Regions from separate parts of the Mus musculus genome. Here all the other regions are reported to be linked to region 5. Evidence: microRNA targets listed by miRTarBase, many of them from high-throughput screens and not tested one by one. Region 5 holds a microRNA gene; each other region holds the end of a gene's coding sequence.

Region 1 (3,099 bases), not on the chromosome of region 5:
GATTTCCTGTTTAGGACAAAACCCACAGACACGTTGTCTCTTAAATTATCCTATTCAGAGTTGAGGTTAACAAAGTTAAACAGCACATGTCCTGTCTGGAGCTGATCTAATTAGGAACCGAGCAATCATTAAGTGGAGTTCACTAGGATCCACGGTAGGACTGAAATGCTTCAAGACAGACAGGTTTAGTGCCAACGCAGAGAAGATAATACTGTAAATAGACCTGTAAATCACACCTCTAAGCATATTTTCCCATTCTTGATTGCAGGTACTTGAATTACTTTGCCACCAAATCGAGCCCAACTGGCGTAATCCTGGATCTTTGGGAAGCACAGAACTTCCCAGATGGAAACCTGAGCATGCTGGCAGCCGTCCTGGAAGAAATGGGAAGACATGAGACAGTGGTGTCCTTGGCAGCAGAAGGACAGTATTGACCACACTGGAACTAAAGCTGAAGGACACAATTACACAGGGAGTCTGTGTTCAGGGGAACCACATCTGAGGAGGAAATCCAGATAGGACCAAGGCGCTCTACAGGCAAGATGGCAACAGGAAACTTGGGGGACAGATATAACCACCAAGGTACACGCCCACTTCATTCGGACAGCACCACCGCGGGAGTTAAGAAAAATTGTGTAAATTTGTACCTTGAATTTAAGAATCAATCTAATTTTCTCTTCGTTGGGCTGTATGCTGTATGGTACAGGATCTTACAGTTTCCTAGGAAACGCTTTTTATTGCTATCCAGATGTATGGATAAACTTTCTTAACAAACCCAGTTTCTACAAATGTTGTTTACATCAAATTGGACAGGGATGCAGACACTGTCCATGGCTCGTTCTATTTTTGTTCAGATCATTTGAAGTTGAAGCTGTGGACAGTTTATTGTGTCTATTTCAGATTAGTAATTTACAGAGAAATCACAGACTTTTGCTAAAAATCATGTACATCAAGTGTCTCAGATAATCTTCCCATCAGTGTTCTGTTTCTGAAACTTGTTGGACCAGTATTGGCATTGGTATCAGGGAAGTGGAGAATCTAAATGTAAAGGAGAAATTGAGAAAATTCCTTATATCCTGGGGTAACCCCGTTGGTATCCTTTGGGAACAGAGCTCTAGCATTACAGGGGAGGTAGCTATTCATGTTCCTCCACACAAACATTTCTGTACCACATGTGTGTTTGTAATAAGCAATTTCAAGTGTTTTTTAAAAAATATTATCATTATTATTGATGATTATTACAAATATTCTAGTAAAAAGAATTTCCTTTTGTTTTAGTTAGCAATACTGTTAGTGTTTGGTGTTGACTAGACCTGCCTCCCTTTCTTGCCTAAAGAGGTGGGCATGGTCACCAGTTTAGTTCAATAGCTTTTGCTTCCTTGACCTTTGGTCTACCATTCTGTGGTGGAAAAGACAGAAATGCTCAATGGCTATGTCTGCTCTTTCAGCTTGCTCGGTCAGAGTCTTTCTGTTCTTGCTCTTATCATGAGGAGAGTTCTCTATGTAAAGTTCATTTACTCTTGTGGCTATCTGGGAGGCAGTATGGTTGTGGGAACAGTGTCTGAACTAGGAATCAGGAAACCAGTTATCCTTGTGGAGTTGGTCCCTGTATGGCTGTGTGACTTTGGGGAAAACATTGAAACTCACTGGCGCTCATTGCCCTTCTTTGTAAACTTTGTGGTGAGACCAGATCATCTCAAGGTTCCAGAATGCTGATCTCCCATTCAAATGTCATCATCCTTTTCTATCTTGCAGGCAGGATTGATTTGAACAGGGATTACTTCAACACACATTTGTTTGTCTTTATCTTTGTGTCATTATTGCATGATGTTGTTCGCTTAGAGATGGCATCCTTTTCTTACCATTGTCTTGACCTCTGCTGGGGCCCTAATGTCCAGCCTTCCAACTAACTGTAAATTCTACTTTACTCATTTATTGATCTCCAGATCTCAAGACCATTTCTACAAAAAGCCCATGCAGCTGAATGAATTGGTAACATTTTTCTTTCTTTATTACTCTTTGCTTTAGTAATATTCAGTTGTATTTATGTAGATTAGTGCTATAGGACCATCCTATAAAACGTTAGTTGTGCATACTCCTTGGGACCATCCTGGGTTTTGTTTGTTTGTTAGTTTGTTTTTATTTTTTGATATAGGAACTCCATTCAGCAGATAGTGAATGAAAACTTAGCAGCCCCACTGACATAGTTAAATAGAAAGCACCTATGCCCTTAAGTCAGAAACTTCAAAATATGGCTGTGGTGTACTTTGGGGCTAGAAGTATTCAGGTTGCTGAATGGATTCCATTGGGAATCATTTTGCCTAATACCCTCTGATTCTGTTACTTCCTGATACACGCTAACTCTTCTATCCTAGTCATTAAAGAACTGTGGGTACAGTTGTGGAGCCTCTTCCTTCATGCTGTTTGTCTTCTCTTTCAGAGATGTATTCTACAGTCTCTTTCTCTAACCATATTCATATATAAAAATCCTGGTCCCACTGACTGTGGAAGGGAAATTCTATACTCCTAACGAAGTTTGTTGGCTGATATCTGTAAGCATGAGTTTGTTCGAACTTTTAAGAGTTTGATTGATGTTCTTAAAAAGTAAGAGGAAGAAAGACTTTGCTGCCTCTTGAAACAAGTGTGAAGGTTCCTCTACACTTCTTGGATTTTGGAACCATCAAAGAAATCCAAACTGAGAGGTCTGGACTGGATGTTCTGTGTAACTTCAATGCTTTGTGCTAAGTCAAGAGGAACAAATATGTTGCTATTCTGGTTAATTTATCCTAAAAACTGTTAAGTCACCAACACAGAAATACTGAATATAACCAAAGCAACATTATTGAATATTTTGAGAGTCCTCGTGTTCAAGCATCTAGAGATACTTGCTTTTGTATTCAGACTCTCACAACAGGAAAAGGAAAAATGACTGATCTCTTATGAAGGAATCATATGTCATAAAACCACTTTCTATCATGTGAATGACAGTTTCCAAACTAGAACATACCATACATCAAATAATTTTCACTAAGCAGTCTGCTCTTTCTCCTTGGGAAGAAAATGATAGTTGTTAGATTGCTGCTTTCCAACACACACGTT
Region 2 (3,099 bases), not on the chromosome of region 5:
ATCCCTAAGGAATCCGCAGAAGAACTGGATGCCCTGCAGTCTTTTTGTACTAAAAAAGTAAACTTGATTCACCAGAGACAGGATTTAAGAGCTAAGAAAAGCAACAGACCCAAAAGGCTGCAGCTCAGATGGATTGCAGAGACCTCAGAGGTAGATGCTTTCAATTGTACGATCCCTGATGAACTGTGGAACAGAATCTATTTGGAAAACACGAGAGCGACTCTGGCGTACATAGGGGCGATTACGCAACACATTTCTTCGCAGTGTCCCAGCTGTAATAGCAAAAGAGCAGAGCTGGCTCAGTCTGACTTCCTGAGACGAAGGAAAACTTTACTGCAGTCACTACTACTCCAAGAGAAAATAGATGAACACCTTCATACCACAGACTTTCTCACCCGTGTTGGAGAAGCACATCAGGGCTTCCCCAGGCTTTCAGATGATCCTAGGATCATCTGGAAGCGACTGACTGAGAAAATGCTGAAGGGAAGCTCCGGCTTTGGGCGGGCATATTCAAAGCAGGTGTAGGAAGACTGTACAAGTCTTTTTAATGATTCTCAACTCACACGTCCAACCAGATAGGAGGTGCTGACTACTAATGATGATATGTACTATGCCCAACCAGGGGATGGTGACTATTGGTGATTAGTGATAACATGTGTTGTGCATACATGTACCTGGTGTGGATTTGAGTAATTACCATCTCATATAGAGGAAATTTAGAAACTAATGTAAGATTTACTTCTGCTTCCTTCACTGAAGTCTAAATCATTAAATCCAATAGATTTTTCACATTATGGAAGACAATTGGAGAAATTGCAAAACTTTTGTAATCTAGGGGAATATATATATATATATATATATATATATATATATATATATATATATGTATGTATATGTGTGTGTGTGTGGTATTCTCTCTATACACACACACACATATGAATGATGGTAGTTTGGAGTGGTGGTGGACAGTACAGAGAGAAAGAAGTAAACAGATATAAGATAGTTAGGAAGCAGCGATGAGGGCTGGTTTTGGTGATAAAGAGGCTGTGGAGACTAACTTTGAAAAGGCACTAGGATTTTGACTTGTGTACCTGTGTACTCGACTGAATAGTAATTTCCTTAAGACAGAATTCTATTTAGTTTCTGTCAACTTGACAAAAACTAGAGTCACTTGTGGAGAGGAAACCTCAACTGAGAAATTGCCTTTCTCCACCGGTCTCCAGGCATTTCTGAGGGAGCATTTACTTCCTTAATGATTGAGGCGGGAGGGTTTGTGCCACTGCCATCCTTAGTCAGGTAGTCTCAGGCTGTGTAACATGGCAAGCTCAGCAAGATATGGAAAGCAAGCCAGTAAGTCACATTTCCCCATGCGTTCTGTTTAGTCCTTGCCCAAAAGTTTCTGCCTTCACTTCCTGTCTCTGCATCCCTCTATGACCTACAATAACCTATTAACTAAATAAAACTGTTTCTTCTCTAAGCTAGTTTTGCTTATTCAACACACATACACACTCCACCCCACCCCAGTAACAGAAACCCAACCAATTGGTACCAGAAATCGATACCAGAGAGTAGGGCATTGCTGTGACAGATGTGACCATGTTTTGGCTTGGGTGTGTGGGGGTGGCTTTTGTGGGAAGACTTGAGAACTTTGTGCTAGGCAAGGTCTTTGCAGTCTCAGAGCTTAATGACCAGGTAGGAGAGCCTGTAGCATAGGAATGTTGGGGAGGGGCAGATGATGGAGAGCTGGCTTCTAAAGGTTTAGAGGGAAACAAAGACCCTATCAGGAATGTTTATGTCAGAATCAAGAATCTGACAAGGGGTCATTGTGCTGGTTTCTATCTAAGCTGACACAAACTAGAGCCACTTAGGAAGAGGGAGTCTCACTTGAGCACTTGCCTCTATCATACTAGCCTATGTCCATATCTGTGGGATACTTCTTGATTATATCAAGGCCTGGGCTACTGTGGCTGGTGCCACCCTGGGGCAAGGTACTGGGTTGTTAGGAAGCAAGCTAAGAAATCCATTGGAAAAACAAGTCAGTAAGCAATACTCCTCCATGGTCTTTGCTTCAGTTCCCGCTTTCAAGTTGTTGCTGGGAGTTACTACCATGTCACCCCTAAATGATGGGTGGTACTCTGTAAGCTTAGCAAATCCTTTCCTTACCCTAACTGGTTTTGATGGATGTTCTTATTATATTTCTGTATAATAAAACACAATACAGCTAGGAAGACTACAACATGGCGAATTTGAAGGTGTGATTGAATATAATTCTTTATATCTAAGTAGTGTGTGGTGTATTTGAGACATATACATTGAGAGTATAAAGAAGCAGGTTATTTATATGTAGAGTCAACAGGAAAGGTTTAGAGGCTAGACTAGTGGGGAAATCATTGGCATGTAGTTAGACATTGAAGCCGGAGATGGGACAAACTTCTAGAAGCTAGGAGAGAGAAAAGAAGCAGACTGATTGCAGCTTCTGAGAAATGCTGACCATTAATAAAGTATGTTTGTGTGTGTGTGTGATAATCATGCAAGAATAAAACAGCGAAATAAAGAATATGAATATATACTACATAAAGAGTTTAATTGCTGGCAAGAAAACAAGATGAAGCTGAGGGCTTCAATATAGCAGTGTGTGTGTGCGTGTGTGTATTGTATATAACGTACACATATGTATCTATATTGTATATAACAATGCGGGATTGTTATAAACAATCCATTTTGGTCATAATGATTTTATGAATCTTCTCTATGTCCTAGTTTTCGGTCAAACAAACTATCATTTTTTGAAGAGCAGTTTGCCATTAATGGGGGGAAATCACATGTTCCTTGATAGCTCATATTTATGATTTATTTTTCTATAAAAATGCTAGCATTGATGGCATTACCCAGAGACTGTTTTCCACACATCAGATTATTTGAGTGAAAGTTAATTGTATTTGCAAACGATGGCTCTTTTTTTTCATTATTTTTTTAATTAGGTATTTTCTTCATTTACATTTCCAATGCTACCCCAAAAGTCCCCCAAACCCCCCACTTCCCTCACCCCCAATCCCACTTCTTGGCACTGGCATTCCCCTGTACTGAGGCATATAAAGT
Region 3 (3,099 bases), not on the chromosome of region 5:
ATCTATTTGTGAGACTGTTAGGTTTAACAAGTCTTTATTTAGTGACTCGTTTTTCCATCTTCTATTATATTAATCACAAAGTTGAACAGACTGCGTTCTGTAGTCATCTTTTCTGGCTGAATGGTGCATTTGGGCATGTGGGCGCGCATGCATGCACAAGGCACAGGCTGAGGAGATCTCAGGCTACAGAAGAGTTAGTGAGCGAGCATCAGCCTGCCCTGTGTCCTCGGGCCACTTTCCATCAATGCTTCTCATCTCCAGATCTTTCAAGTGATGCCAAACTGTGGAAAAACTTTCAGAAATGCATGACTGTCTCTTCCATCCTGTTGTGAATAAAACAGCTGAATCAAACAACGCAGGCTCTTTTGGAAGTCTCCCTTTCTTCATGAGCTGCTGGCATCCTTACAGTTCGTTATTAGCCAAGGGAGATCACAGGACTGGGCGCTGAAGGATCTTAGATATGGTTTTAGTTTGGGAATATGTTCCTGCAGATGGCTGCGTTTTGGTGACTGAAGAGTCCCATGTAGCGGCAATGCGTGTATTAAACATCCCGCAGGAGAGCTGAGTTAATCTTCTAAGCATAGTGCCCAAGAGGAAAAACCTCCTATTTACCGATAGTCATAGTAGGCCTGACTCCAACTGACCCTTCAGTCGCAATGACTGTCATATTGCCAGCTGGTTTTGGTACATGTTCATGACTCAATTAAAATGGAAGAGGAAATAACATCCATGGGACTAGACTTTGGTTCCTATGGTAATGATGTAATAATACATATGTCACATAAAATCTCCTATTTGGTTATGAAAAAGGTACTTTTTGTTTTTTAACTGATTGGGATTAAAACAATAAACTGCCACATCAGAAGCATGTTGACAAACTGGAGGGAAACAAACCTTTTCTACAGAGAAGGAGTTGTTACACACACGTGCATGGTGTGCAAATGGAAGGCAGCTTCTGCCTCCTACAGCTAGCATTGCTTCCGCAGGGCTGGGATTTATAGGAAACAAACTCAAACCTCATTATAATTGTTAAAGACCAAAGACCACATACAGGGAGAATAAATAGCAAGTTCAAAAGTCAAGGTTTTGCTTTTCCTACTACGAAAGATAATCACTCTTTAGCTTAAAAAGGCTCCCTGCTGCCTGCTTATAAATCCAGACATAGGAGAGGTCATCTGAGCCTGAGTCCCTGCAACGGCTGACTGTAGAAATGTGTGACATCAAAACTTACACTCCTTTCCTGATAGGTACTGACAGAAGTAAAAGCTGGTAATACTTAATTAAACTAAAATATGTATTTCTGGCAAGTGTAAACAGAATCTTAATGAACAGATTTTCTAAATTCTCTCCTTAGCTCATACGTTAGCTAACAGTAGATCTTTGCAGTAGTGTAAGAACTATTTAAAATTATAACATGCATATATTCAAAAAACCTGTTCTCAATCCCAAAGCAAAGGAAAAAAATACAATAGGAAGATTGTCTACATACATCTCATTCATTAATCTTCTATCAATAACTACCCCACCTCAGAATATATTTTCATAATTACCAAAATAATGAAATGATCTGTAAAATTTTTAAAATAACTGCACACCATTAATTACATTCATGGCTTCAATGTGAATAATGCCAAGATTAGCCCCAAATGTCACTAAAATGCATCTTGACCAGTAACTGTCCACACAGTAAAAGCGAACACAGTGTTAATGCAAAACCAACTAAAATATTTATTACTTAACAGAATGCATTTACAGAATAATGAATAATTAACTTTTGTGAGCTGGCCAGGGGACATCAGACTGTTGCCTCCATATACAAATTTACAAAAGGCTTTATTCAGTCTACTTCCTAAGTTACCTATAAGACAGCAAGTTGTCCACCACTGGGCACAGTACGTTAGGCATAGCCACAGTGGAAGGCATGCTCTCTTCATGACCCAGGAAGGTTCCTCTGGCAGGAAAGAATTTACCAAGCGAGAACCTGACCTAGCATGTGTGTATGACAGTACAAGAGAGTGGAACTTTAGCTGTGTACTCCAGGATTTTGAGGGGTTCTAGTCTCCAGGCTTCTAGTTAGAGCAACATCACTTCTGTTTTGGTCTTCTCAGAAGCGTACAAGTAGCCTACCTATCACCGAACAAAGCCTTTCTGCGAGCATTTCCGAGATGTGTCAGAACTTAAAAGCTCAAAACTATACAACCAGTTTTCTGACTTGAGATTCCACAAAGTCTTTTTAGAGAAATAGACGTTTGAATTGGAAAACAAAACAAAAAACAAAAAGGTCCTGGTTTTCATAATCTTCTGTTTTAGGGAAAACAAGCCAGCTCACCTTGGGGTAAGTAACAGTGCGCTTATGCTATGCAGAATGCAAACAAGACACAAACGGAACACTCGGGTACACACACTGACAGGTGACGGTTAAAACCTTTCCGAAAGACCCCCTATTGGAGCCCCCCATTTCTCCATTCTGCTGAACCGGCCTGAGTAGACCTGGGCATAGGAAGAGAGTTAGGAGGTGGCAGCGGACATATTGGGGGTCCAGCCCATCTGGTAGGCTCTCTCCAAGGTCCTCTTGCAGTCCTGCAGAACGGTGCTGAAGGTGATGTGCGGGTACTGCTGCACCAGCTGCTCCACTGTCAATTCATTGACCTGTGAGCAGAGAAGAGTCATCATCAGACACAGGGGCCACCAACACCATGCAGCCTGTGCTCACAGGGGTGCTGTGGGGCATGCGACGTGCCAGGGAACAACAGCTCTCCCTTTCCTTTCCACTTAGCAACATGACCAAGGATTTGCTGAGCGCGTGCATTTTTCCTCTGGTCTGACTTCTCTGATACTCTAGAATTGCACTGCCCGTATGGATTTTTAATTAAACATGATGTCATGAAATCAAATGTACCTGCTAAACATAAATGACTAAATGACTGGGATTTACCAAGATCGCAGTAATGCCCATTAAGAACACAGAAAATGGGAGGAAGAACGCAGTAGGAGCATCTCCTGTATCTCTGACTTCTTCACCCATGGAAAAGCCTTTTTAGGCTGGACACTGTACATTGGGGTGGGGGTGGGGGTGGAGATACACAGGATTCTAGATAG
Region 4 (3,099 bases), not on the chromosome of region 5:
GAAGCACAGCAAGCATGATGCCCGGGGGTGCGTATCCACACGTGCCCCAAGTTCCAGCCTAATCCCACAGTGCTGCTCCAAAGGCAAGAGACCCAGGGTGGGAGAGGGAGGCGGAGGGCTCCAGGAGCCCAGATGGCACGCTCCAGTGAAGACTCAGACCCATTAGAGATCCTTCGTGCTACAAACGTGGCAACACCTTTTTATTCAGAGTAAGATGTGTTCACATCAGCATGACAAAGTTTGTACAAAGTTCACAATTTAAAAATGAAGTATCACAGCAACTTGTGATTCCACACATTTATAGCAAAATTAAAGTGTCAACAAACCCATGCCGTGTAGTACAAAAATAAATCAAACTTCAGTTCCACAGAGAGCACAATAAATAGTTTATACAAAATTCTGTCTTAATAAATGATTACTTAAATTAACTTAGAAATGAATATGAACAATAAGTTATAATAAATATGCTCTGATGACTCACAATAACCCCATGTGGAAGGTCAGCATTCTAACATGTGACACTTTGTGATCCCTATATATAGTCACAGATAACTTTTGATTTGATATTATGTACCACCGTTACATGAGCAGCAGATTTGTGCTTAGAACCCCTCTCCATTGTACATAGGTGATAACAATAAGAATCCAAACTGATACTACCTATTACTCTACTAAAAGCATTACTACATTGGCCAAGAAGCTGCAGACAAGACGCGGTGGGGAAATGCATGTGCCGCTATGAACAGAGGCCCCCCGGGTGTGGGCCTGGGACCATGTGTATGGCATCAGGTGACAGTAAGCACCTTGCTTCAGCTCTCAAAAGGCAATTCTGAGCATGGCAGCTACAACTAATCGCACAACAGAAAGGGGGCGCTGGACAGAGAAGGTCCTGCAGAGCCCCAAGTAATTACATAATCTTTTCCCCAGCTAGTTATTAAAGTCCTTGTGGAAAACTGTAAGCTTTTGTACAGTGAACAGTATAAAGTGCCGCTGGGATATTCTTATATTTATACATATATATATATGTATATATATATATATATATATATATATACCGAGGTTGAGTATTGTATCAGAATGTTTGTCGTGAGATCCCTGTAGTCTCCCTTAGTAACCGTATTGGGTCAGCCTCGAGGGCCTCCTCTATAACTCATCCACTTCAGTGTCACAAGGCGACTGACACAGGATTGCACACCTCCGTACGGATATATAGGACAAGGCGAGTGCAAAGAGCCGACTGGCACATTGTGGGGACAATGACCCTGTAAGTCCTGTTCTGCTAAAAATATTTTTTTTATTATTTTTACAAAACCCATCCTTTTTTTTTTTATTTCATAACAAAATTTTAAAGTACTTTTGTACTTCCTGCATAACATCAAGACATGGAAGAGAGAGATGCTACTAAAAGGAAATCAAGTCGACATCGGGGAACACAACACATTGTCAAAGACTACTCAGAAGGGGCGCAGCAATCAAAAGTGGCCGTATGCATACATATAGTGCAGTCATTTGGGATGAAACCATCAAATTTCGAAGGTATCGACAAATCTAAGATGATCTAGTTTAAAGCAAAAAAGTGCCGCAGTCTATTTAGTTACTTTAACATCTGATTGCACTCTTTCTCAGGTTAGGTCACCACGAGTCACACAAGGCTGTGCAGACGCTAGAGTCAGCTGGACCCAGCGAGGGCAGAACGTGAACGTCCTTGGCCTTGGTGTCCAGTGTATTCTGGATAGGACCAAGGCTTATTCGAAGTCAGAGTTGGGGCAGGGAGGGGTAGGGAAGGGTAGAGCTGCTTCCCCACCCGCCCAGCAGAGAATCCCATCCAGTAACCAGGGCAAGCACAGCCGTTAGCCTTCATCCTCAGATGTGAAACAAGAATAATCAATGATGATTCTTTTTGAAAGTGAAAGGGGAGATAAATGCTTAAATTACCTGTTTGCTCAGATGGAAAAAAAACAATCAACGGCTGCTAGGTAAGCTAGATTGTGGTAACACTTCAGAGGGGCACGGGGCTCTAGGAGAAATAAGAGAAGTGTGCTCCAAAGGTTACTGAAAATGCAAAGGAAATCTTCGTGTTGTCCACCTCTGACAAGCTCCTGTCTTAACGGAGTCTCCACAGTCCCACCATGTAATGTTTAGGAGTTAATTAAAAGTGCTGTTTAAGCTGCTTTGAATCTTCTGCCAAGTTTCCATGGCTTGATGTTGTCTTACAATAAATTACTTATTTCATTTCTTATAGTTAATCCATATGCCATTTCCTTGGAATGCAAAAAACCTCATTTATTGCCCCCACCATACACCATCCTCCTAAAACAAACAAACAAAAAAGTCACATAATATTTCCAAGCATTGTTCAAAAATAAAGCATTTTTTTGCAACCAATTCTTGCTATGAAACAATATGCACACAAAATGTATTTCTTAAATTCCACAAAGTCCTCCAACCTGAGGCAAAATGATAATGTCTAAAAGTGGCCAGGAGGCCACAAAGTGATCGTTCAAACCTGCTTTTTTTTTCCTTTTTCTTTTTTTGTCCATTTCAGTTCAAAATACTAAAACATTTAATCACTAAAGCATTAAAAAGAATTTACACTCTATTTATTTTCATCAGCTTACCTCTTCAGAAATATAGAGACCCCCAAATGTGCAGACAGCAGCAGCTATAAACATTACATGGCAAATCACACTATGTCAGCTTATATGAAAACGTACAAAATGTGAATGTATCCAAAACTAGTCTGCAGGTACTCTCTCGAGAGCACACAAAACCATTATGAAGTCTTGTAGCATAACACTGTTCCGACAGAAATAAATATATAACACTTTCTGGTAAGTTACAGCAGCAAGAAACAAGAGGCATCCTTTTTAAGCATGAGTCACCACTAGAGCAGCTGTTCAGACCTGAATTCCTCTCACAGCCTGCTTTATATTTTCCAGTAGGGCTTTATTTTCTGGACTCTGATAACGATCTTGATTTGTATACATTTCCGTCAAAGTAGTCACGTAAGCATCAAAATTTTGTTCATTGATTGGATCCTACGAGATATTAAATAGTAGTTCATATACAACTTTCATTTTCTGAATAGTATATTCACAA
Region 5 (3,099 bases):
CACATTCTTGGTGGGCATCACATGAATCGCATGCTGAACTCTAACTCATCATGAAGTTAAACATGAATTTGAACTCCTCATCCTCCTGACACTGGCAAGAGTGCTCACCTCCTAACTGAGACATAGCTCTGGCCATTCCTATGAATGTGTGTGCATGTGTGTATATGCATATTCATATAGAGAAGTGAATATGCACACAACTATACACACATGTACATTTTGGTGGGCATAATATGAATCCCATGCTGATCATGAACTCATCATGAAATTCAGCACGAACTTGAACTCCTGATCCACCTGACTCTGTCAAGGGATTTCACCTACTGAGTGAGACCTCTCCCCATTCAGTACTGAAAAATCTTAAAACTCTAAGTCACATGTCATTCAAATGGATCGATGAGTTGCACTGATGTTTTTGTGTGTGTTTCTGTTTGTGTCTGTGTACATGTACATATTTGTGTAGATAGGTACATCCATATACTCAAATCCACACACAATAGAAACAGATACAGATAGGGATACATAGGGGACATCACATGAATCCCAGGCATATCTCTAAGTCATCATGAAGTAAAGCATGAATTAGAACTCCTGATCCACAATCTTTCACACCTGATGAGTAAAACCATTCACTGTCCCACTACTTCATAATCTTGAAAACTTTGAGTCACATGTCATTCAAACGTATAAATGAATGCAATTTTTTCCTGTGTGTGTGTGCTTGCATAAACACGTGTGTTTATGTTATGTATATCATGTCAACACATACAATGCACATACAAGTAAGCACACATGCACATACATGGGTTGCATGACATTAATACCAAGATGATCTCCAAATGAAGTTAAGCATGAATTTGCAATCCTTATCCTCCTGACTTTGTCAATCTTTTACACCTGGTGAGTGAGTCCATTCAATGTCCCCTATTGCATAATCTCTAAAACTCTACATCACTTATCATTCAAAGGGATTGGCGAATGCCATTCCTGTGTCTGTGTATGTGTGCTTGCGTTTATACGTGTGTGTGTATGTTATGTATATTCAAATATAGACATGAACATGCACACACAACTATACACACATGCACATACATGGAGGAATCACAGGCTGATCTCTCATGAGGATAAGTGTAAATTTGAACTCCTGATACTCTTAACTCTAGCAAGCATTTTCACTCTAAGTCACTTATCATTCAAATGGATTGACGAGTGCCATTCCCCTGTGTCTGTGTGCTCATATGTGTCTTATGTGTGCGTGTATGTATATGTATATCATATTCACATATGTACATGCACACACACATCAACACATATACACATACGTAGGGGCAATCACATGAATGCCAGGATGACCTCTAACTCATCATGCCTTTACTATGAACTTGCACTCCTGATCTTCCCGACTCTACCAAGGGTTTTCCCGTGGTTTGTGAGACCTCACCCTGGCCCAGTCATACATAACCTCCAAAGCAGTAGGTCACATATCATTCAAATGGATCCGTGAAGGCCATTTCCGCATGTCTGTGTGCATGTGTGTGTAGGTGTGTGTATGTATATGCATAAAATATACACGCATATACATGCAGGCACTTACGCACACGGGCACATACATAGGGGCCATCACATTATTCCAGGATGATCTCTAACTGCTCATGAAGTTAAGCATGAAATTGAACTCCTGATCCTCCTGACACTGCCAATTATTTACACCTGGTGAGTGAGACCTTCACTGTCCCTCTACTTTATAATCAGCAAAATTCTAAGACATATATCATTCAAATGGATCAATGAGTGTCATTCTTATGTGTGTGAGTGTGCACGCCTGTGTGTGTGAATACATTTGTATGTGTGTGTATTTATATGTATGATCATATACACACATGTACGTGCACACACAATTATATGCACTTGTGCATACCTAGGATCCATCACACAAATACAGGGTGATCTCTAACTCATTATGAAGTTAAGCATGAATTTGAACTCCTGAGACTCCTAACTCTGGCAAGTGGTTTTCATCTGATAAGTGAGATTATTCCCTATACCATGAATATACACTCAATGAAATTATAAGCACGTATAAATCAAATGGATGACTGCCATGTGTGTATGTGTGCACATGTATGTGTCCCTAGTTGTGTGGGTGTGTATATATATATATATATATATATATATATATATATATATATATGCATGTTCATATACGCGCATGTACAGGCATACTTCCCTATACACATAAACACAAACACAGGGAAAATCACATGAATTCCCGGCTGATCTCTAACTCATCATAAAGTTAAACATGAATTTGAACTACTCATCCTCATGATGCTGGCAAGAGTATTCACCTCCTAACTGATTAATAGCTCGGGCCATTCATGGGAGTATGTTTGCGTGTGAGTATATGCATATTCATATACAGAAGTGATTATGTACACAACTATACACACATGCACATTCTTGGTGGGCATCACATGAATCGCATGCTGAACTCTAACTCATCATGAAGTTAAACATGAATTTGAACTCCTCATCCTCCTGACACTGGCAAGAGTACTCACCTCCTGAGACATAGCTCTGGCCATTCCTATGAATGTGTGTGCATGTGTGTATATGCATATTCATATAGAGAAGTGAATATGCAGACAACTATACACACATGCACATTTTTGGTGGGCATAAGATGAATCCCATGCTGATCATGAACTCATCATGAAATTCAGCACAAATTTGAACTCCTGATCCACCTGACTCTGTCAAGGGACTTCACCTGCTGAGTGAGACCTCTCCCCATTCAGTACTGAGGAATCTTAAAACTCTAAGTCACACGTCATTCAAATGGATCGATGAGTTGCACTGATGTTTGTGTGTGTGTTTCTGTTTGTGTCTGTGTACATGTATATATTTGTGTAGATAGGAACATACATATACTCAAATCCACACAAAATATAAACAGATACAGATAGGGATACATAGGGGGCATCACATGAATCCCAGGCATATCTCTAAGTCATCATGAAGTAAAGCATGAATTAGAACTCCTGATCCACAATCTTTCACACCTGGTGAGTAAAACCGTTCACTGTCCCAGTACTGCAT
Region 6 (3,000 bases), not on the chromosome of region 5:
TCTCATACTCATTGGACTCCTAGGTTTGGGGGGTCAGATATTTATCACTAAAGCAGTTCAAATAGAAAAAGCAGGACTCGTAGCGATAATGAAGACCATGGATATAGTCTTTGCTTTCATCTTTCAGATTGCTTTCTTTGATAATGTACCAACTTGGTGGACGGTGGGTGGGGCCCTCTGTGTGGTGGTCAGCACCACTGGAGCAACCATTCGTCGATGGCTGCAGGGTTCCAAATGAAGTGTCACTGCTGAAACCTGGTTTTTATTTTCAAGTGTGCTGTCACCTAGCTCAGACATCTTGCACACCCACACACATACCTGGAGAATCTTCATCACTCATTGGCTTTCTTTAATACCTTTCATAAAGTGCCATTTTTAAACATAGTGCGTTTTTAGTTAAGAGTAGCTAGCTAGCCGGGCGTGTTGGCGCACGCCTTTAATCCCAGCACTCGGGAGGCAGAGGCAGGCGGATTTCTGAGTTTGAGGCCAGCCTGGTCTACAAAGTGAGTTCCAGGACAGCCAAGGCTACACAGAGAAGCCCTGTCTCGAAAAACAAAAACAAAAAAGAGTAGCTAGCTAGGCTAGCCTCACAGTCTGGATAGCTTTTATCTTTGCTTTGGCTCCTTGGTTGGGTTACCATTGATGAGAAGGGAGCTCATTTGAGGAATTTCAGAAATTTTTATGAGTACAATTTTTAAAATTTATTTCTGACCCGGGATGTGGATGGGAGATCCTCTATTTTAGCAGTGCACATAAGAAGCTCAACGTTGACAATGCTGCTCTAGTTAGTACTGTGCTAATCTGTTGATTGCAATATCATCCCACTTAGGATGCCAAAGCTGCAACTTGGTCTAGGTGCCTACCTACCCATAGGAGTATAAGCGAACCAGCCTTATTCTCAAGGATCTTAGAGATGATTACTACACTTTTAACTCATGTGTGCCTTTTCGTTTTGATGCTGGGACTTTTTATATGTACTCTGAACAGAGCCTTCAGCTTGCCACATGTGGTTAGCAGTTCTCTCTTTCAGAATATTAACAACTCTGGCTATCATTTTGAATTTCAGTTGTCTCCTGTTTTATTGAAATTGCACTTTTTTTTTAACATTCCGAGATTTCCAACCTTGAAATCATGAGAGCAAAATCTTGGCGTGATCAGTGTGTACATTCCCATCCTGAGGTGATTTCACTTCAGATGCGGTGGTTTTTCTACAAATTCTCTTTGAATTCATAGTGTGATGCCAAATACAATTTTTTTCTCAGGATTGTACTAGGCTGGGCCATTATCAGATTGCCCAGATTCTACCGTTTTCATTTTCAAAACCCACAGTTCTAGAAGGTTCATCCCGCAGGCTCCCTTCGCATTAAACCAAATATTTATACCTTTACAGTACATGTCTGTTAATAAACGTACAGTCTTTTTCCATCTTGGAATGGTATGTTATAATGCTTGTGGCATACGAAAAATGTAAAGACTTGTTACTCCATAGTTGATTGGTTTTCCCAGTCTTTTGCATATACGGAAAGAACACAGGTACAAGCCAGTCTTTGACACACAATCCTAGTGTGAACTTAGACAGTAGATTCTATCTGTGGAGCACCAGCAGGCCAGTACTCCTCTGTGAAAGAGGAAAACTTGGTAGATTGGGAGTAAATGACCATGCGTCTTTGGGGCGCTTTGGATGCCTTTATGGTGAGGCCATTGTGGCTGCCACCTCTTACTTTGTCAGACACTGTCTACTGTTATCATTAGCTGCAGACTTGAGGGGCTATTGCTCTCTCCCACACTCCTCACAGCTCTTCTGGAGGAAGGGACTGGTCTCCTGGATCTTACATTTAGCTATGAAAGGATCTTCTCCAGTAGTTCCTAAGAGGAACTTTGAGTTTGGTGGTTTTAAATCACCTTAGCCACCTGACATCCTACATATGTACTTAGCTGAATCACCTCAGTTGCATTTGACCCCGCATAGATCTGCCAATGGTGCCGTTCTACCAACATCCTAGAAAACACAGAGTCAGCAGACTCTTAGTACTCTGGAGGGGTCTTAGAGGGCATCCTGAGGGATGACGGGAGGGAGGGCTGCAATAGCTGGTTTCCATAGCAGCCTCCTCTTACTGAGTTCCACTCCTGGAGTACCACCAAACTTACACAATAGAAGAGTGTCTGGGATAGTGGAAGATAACCCCTTTGGAAATACATTATATTTCAACTGTGTCTTAAGTACATGGATGTCAGGATATGTGGCTGACATTGGAGACAATGTTTCTTATACCAACCTTTACAGGGTATGATTTTTAAACAATGTTCAAGTGGTATACAAGGCTATGTATTGTAACAATTACGGGGGTTTATGTATTTTCCAAAGATTGTAGTTTCTATATCTTGCAAAGGGAAATATTTTTTTCCTAATGTGTTTTTATTTTGTAAGTAATAAAATCATAAAAGAAAGATGTTGGGTTTTACAACTATAGAAAGTGTCTCACGACTCGTTTCTCTTCTCGACCGGGCGCTTCAAAACTCATTTTCTATAGAAGACTCGCCTCTAGCCGTTTTGTAGGCTGTGATCTTAAATTTTCAAACTTTATCTGTTCCTCATACACAACAAATACAACATCTCCAAAATAAATAGTAATCTGTTAAGAGACCTTCACTTTTCTAAACCCACAGAGCTCAGAGCAGCTTGAAGTTGTGTTGTCTTCTACAGCTAGGTTCTGTAGTGCCCTAGGAATTCTTTCTACCCTCACAATGTCTGTCCGCTGCTACCCACAGAGTGACTACACCTGAGTTTTTTACAGCTGTAGTCTAACTAAGCTACCTACTTAATACGTTGACCTTGATCCAGCTGCCAAGGTCAGGAGTCTTCCTGAAGCCCTGTCACTTCAGTTCTCAGGAAGCCACAGAGGTGGCTAGTGGTCCACACGGTCATGCCCATATGCCCCCCTCCCCCACTTCCTCTTCACTGTAGTTTCCCACATCCCAGATGTCCTAGGATCAGCATTT
Region 7 (3,099 bases), not on the chromosome of region 5:
GGCCCTGAAGCTTTCTGACGGTTCTTACGCCCTCAATGGTGAATACACGCTGATGCCCTCCCCAACAGATGTGGTTCTTCCTGGGGCAGTCAGCTTGCGCTACAGCGGAGCCACAGCAGCCTCAGAGACACTGTCTGGACATGGGCCGCTGGCCCAGCCCTTGACGCTGCAAGTCCTGGTGGCTGGCAACCCACAGAATGCACGTCTGCGGTACAGTTTCTTTGTCCCGCGGCCAGTCCCTTCAACACCACGCCCTCCTCCCCAAGACTGGCTGCAACGCAGGGCAGAGATACTGAAGATCCTTCGGAAGCGTCCCTGGGCAGGCCGGAAATAACCTCACTGTCCCGGCTGCCCTTTTTGGGCGCCGGGGCCTCGGACTCATCTGGGAGAATGAGCAGGCTTCTGCAACTGCCTCCTGCTAAAACACAGTAGGGAGGTGTAGAGGGTGAGATCTGCCTGCCTCACTGCCCCAAACCGCAGGCTGGCCCTGCCCTGGCTTCCTGCCCTGGGAGGCAGTGATGTCTTGGTGAATGGAAAGGGGCTAGGTGACAGTACCCTATCTACTAAACTGCCCCCTCTACCCTGCAGGTCACAGGAGGAATGGGGGGAAGACAGGGTGGGTCCTGGGCCCTAGTTGTATTTATTTGGTATTTATTCATTTTTATTTAGCACCAGGAAAGGGGACTAGGGTCTTGGGGAAACTCACCCATTATAGCCCTAACCTAGCTATGAAATCCAGGGTGTTGGTGACAAATATGAGTGGTGTGTGTGTGTGTGTGTGTGTGTGTGTGTGTGTTTATGTATGAGGTACAACCTGCCCTGCTTTCCTCTCCCTAATTTTTTTTTTTTTCTGGGAAAAGGAAAGTCAAAGGTAGGACTGCCTTCAGGGAGTAAGGGATGATTGTGTTTTTAAATTGAAGTTTGCTATTTATATGCTCTTTTTGGAGTCAGACAAATGTGGGTTATATTCTGGCCCCGCATCTTTGAGCATTAGTTTTCTCATGTGCCAATAATAATCCCTTAGAAATTGGTTGTAAGGATTAAATGATGTTAATAAAGAACTAGCATAGAGCCTCTCACTCAGTAGGTGCTCAAGGAATGGCAGCTGCTGCTCCTGTGGTCCTTGTTCTCCCAGTCACCCTCCACAGAGGCTCTGCCAGGCACTCGAAGTCCACAAGGATTCATGTCACTTGTGCCTATCTTTAGTCCCAGGCTCAGGACCTTCGGTTGGCAGGACCCTGTTTAGGATTTGGAGAGAGTTCAGACTCTCAGATGGCCATCTTGTCTATTACTTCTGTAGGCACGTAAGCACCTGCAGCAGACATAATAAACACTTGGCAAAGATAGTCAACAAGAACATGAAGGTACAAGAACAGAACCCAACAACTCCCTGGACACAAACAGGAGCTTAGTTGTAAGAATGGCGGAAGGGGCAGAGAAGGGATGATGTAATAGCATCCTGGCATTCCAGGAGCTGGTGGATCTGAACTTGAGTTAGGGTTCAGCATCTTATTACCTGGGTGATGTTGGGCAAGTGCTGATAAGTGACCTTGGAGTACAAGTCTGTGGAATGGGGCCAGTAATAACTGCTCTGACAGCATTGCTCTGTGCTCAAGGATTTTCAAACAGTAAAGGCCGTTGTAACAGGAGAGGTGACCTTTGTGGTGACAGACTGGGACAGTGACTCCAGAATCAATCAAAGTAAGCCCAACCAACATCTAGGAATGGAATTCAATGAGAGGAACAGGATGTGGTCTGGTATTGCCTAATAATCAACAAAGCAAAGCAAAGCCAAAAAAAAAAAAAAAAATCCTACAAGAGTGGAGCCATCTGTCAATCTGTCCAGTGGTGGCGGAATGCGAGGACCAGCACTGGCTGAAATGGATCTCCCTTCCTTGAGGGGTAACCTAGTCAGTCTTATGTGCGTCAGGGACTGGCGAAAGTGTCAGTGGAGAATTTCACATGCTAAGTGGCAAATGCAGAGCTTCTAGGATTGTGGAAGGGACTGAATGCTGAGGTAGGAAGGAGCTGTAGGTTAGGAAGACCCTGAGGTGAGGGTGGACTGTGGAGACACTAAAGGCATCTTGCTCTGCCAAAGGAGAGTAGGGGTGAGAGGGGGAGAGGCAGGCACAGAGGGCAAGGCTGTTTGTGTGCTGTATTCATTGGGACCAGGCTTGGCTGGTCAAGTTCTAAACGAGGCAGGGCAGAGCGTTGTAGAGTGCTCTGTGCCTTACACCAGCAAGCACAGTGGCTGCTCTCTCTGCAGGCTTGAGGGAAGGGCTGGCTACACTCCTCTCTTTAGCGTGCATTGCTCTCACTCCCATGCTTGCTCTCTGATGTGGGCCTTGTGGTGCTTCTACCAACCAGGCAGGGGGAGGCAGCAACAGGACAGTGGCATCTTCAGTTGCTTCATCTCAGTGGTAAGATTGGACCAACAGTATGTTTATGGAACTTAATACTATGAACTCACGGTACAAGCAGAGCTTTGTTGAAGTGAAGGTAAAACACAAATGATATACGGCCGTGTCCTTAAAGAGCTCACACTGCATCCTGGGGGAGGGGGGAGGTTGTGCAGCACATGTCCACAAAGAGAGTCAAGGGTCAGTCTGAGGAGCTATAAGATAAAGGCAAAATGGACTTTGTGAAGCTTGAGCCTTGTACCTGAGCACCAGGGCTCAGGAAGGAGGAACGTGATTTGGGCTTTGGGAAGTGGGTCATTATGGTAACGCTTCTCACATTTCTTTGAGGTTCTTGGCAATTTACTTTGTAAGTCACTGTCATATGTTATTTTAAAGAAAAACCACTTTGTTCACCAGGTAGGGTTCTTACTGGCACGAAGAAATTTTCTCCTTGGGAGGTAGAAACAGATGGGTCGGAATTTCAAGGCTATCCTCCGTGGCAACATCATAGCATAAAGGCCAGTTTGGTTACATGGAACTTTGTCTCAAAAGAGGAGGGGGCTGGAGAGATGGCTCAGAGGTTAAGAGCACTGACCACTTTTCCAGAGGTCCTGAGTTCAATTCCCAGCAACCACATGGTGGCTCACAACCATCTGTAATGAGATCTGACGCCCTCTTCTGGTGTGTCTGAACACAGTGA

Evidence for each region. The annotated mature microRNA mmu-miR-466a-3p reads UAUACAUACACGCACACAUAAGA and lies in region 5 at 1,244-1,266, opposite strand. An mRNA with a match to its seed (bases 2 to 7 or 8) in the 3' UTR can be bound and repressed. Matches are read on the target gene's strand: a 7mer-m8 pairs with bases 2 to 8, a 7mer-A1 pairs with bases 2 to 7 and ends in A, and an 8mer does both.
Region 1: miRTarBase lists Unc5c as a target of mmu-miR-466a-3p. The part of its 3' UTR that is shown has no 7-base or 8-base seed match.
Region 2: miRTarBase lists AI429214 as a target of mmu-miR-466a-3p. Seed matches in the 3' UTR shown: 7mer-m8 at 883-889 and 8mer at 887-894.
Region 3: the mRNA of Fbxl17 is a reported target of mmu-miR-466a-3p. Seed matches in the 3' UTR shown: 7mer-m8 at 769-775.
Region 4: miRTarBase lists Myt1l as a target of mmu-miR-466a-3p. Seed matches in the 3' UTR shown: 7mer-m8 at 1,491-1,497 and 8mer at 1,009-1,016.
Region 6: miRTarBase lists Slc35g1 as a target of mmu-miR-466a-3p. Seed matches in the 3' UTR shown: 7mer-m8 at 2,324-2,330 and 7mer-m8 at 2,350-2,356.
Region 7: the mRNA of Adamts4 is a reported target of mmu-miR-466a-3p. Seed matches in the 3' UTR shown: 7mer-m8 at 798-804.

What each region holds. Positions count from the first base shown.
Region 1 is chr3:141,828,139-141,831,237 of GRCm38, forward strand. It overlaps Unc5c (unc-5 netrin receptor C), which reads left to right. Exons shown (of 16, transcript NM_009472.4): 16 at 269-3,099. The coding sequence ends at 434. Among named protein-coding and RNA genes, the nearest start is that of Gm15689, 150 kb to the left of the region's middle.
Region 2 is chr8:36,994,057-36,997,155 of GRCm38, forward strand. AI429214 (expressed sequence AI429214) reads left to right here. Exons shown (of 1, transcript NM_001039220.3): 1 at 1-1,477. The coding sequence ends at 525. The region is part of intron 2 of G630064G18Rik (RIKEN cDNA G630064G18 gene); the gene reads right to left. Among named protein-coding and RNA genes, the nearest start is that of AI429214, 2.0 kb to the left of the region's middle.
Region 3 is chr17:63,057,763-63,060,861 of GRCm38, forward strand. Fbxl17 (F-box and leucine-rich repeat protein 17) reads right to left here. Exons shown (of 9, transcript NM_015794.1): 9 at 1-2,649. The coding sequence ends at 2,509. Among named protein-coding and RNA genes, the nearest start is that of Gm34324, 19 kb to the left of the region's middle.
Region 4 is chr12:29,920,280-29,923,378 of GRCm38, reverse strand. Myt1l (myelin transcription factor 1-like) reads right to left here. Exons shown (of 25, transcript NM_001093775.1): 25 at 170-3,038. The coding sequence ends at 2,898. Among named protein-coding and RNA genes, the nearest start is that of Gm46346, 6.5 kb to the right of the region's middle.
Region 5 is chr2:10,489,556-10,492,654 of GRCm38, reverse strand. It overlaps Gm25285 (predicted gene, 25285), which reads right to left and starts at 1,319; the gene lies at 1,230-1,319. All of the region lies in intron 10 of Sfmbt2 (Scm-like with four mbt domains 2), which reads right to left. Mir467a-6 (microRNA 467a-6) reads right to left here and starts at 1,607; the gene lies at 1,525-1,607. Mir669a-8 (microRNA 669a-8) reads right to left here and starts at 1,089; the gene lies at 1,003-1,089.
Region 6 is chr19:38,403,141-38,406,140 of GRCm38, forward strand. It overlaps Slc35g1 (solute carrier family 35, member G1), which reads left to right. Exons shown (of 3, transcript NM_175507.3): 3 at 1-2,467. The coding sequence ends at 238. Among named protein-coding and RNA genes, the nearest start is that of Slc35g1, 8.7 kb to the left of the region's middle.
Region 7 is chr1:171,258,845-171,261,943 of GRCm38, forward strand. Adamts4 (a disintegrin-like and metallopeptidase (reprolysin type) with thrombospondin type 1 motif, 4) reads left to right here. Exons shown (of 9, transcript NM_172845.3): 9 at 1-3,099. The coding sequence ends at 334. Among named protein-coding and RNA genes, the nearest start is that of B4galt3, 9.9 kb to the right of the region's middle.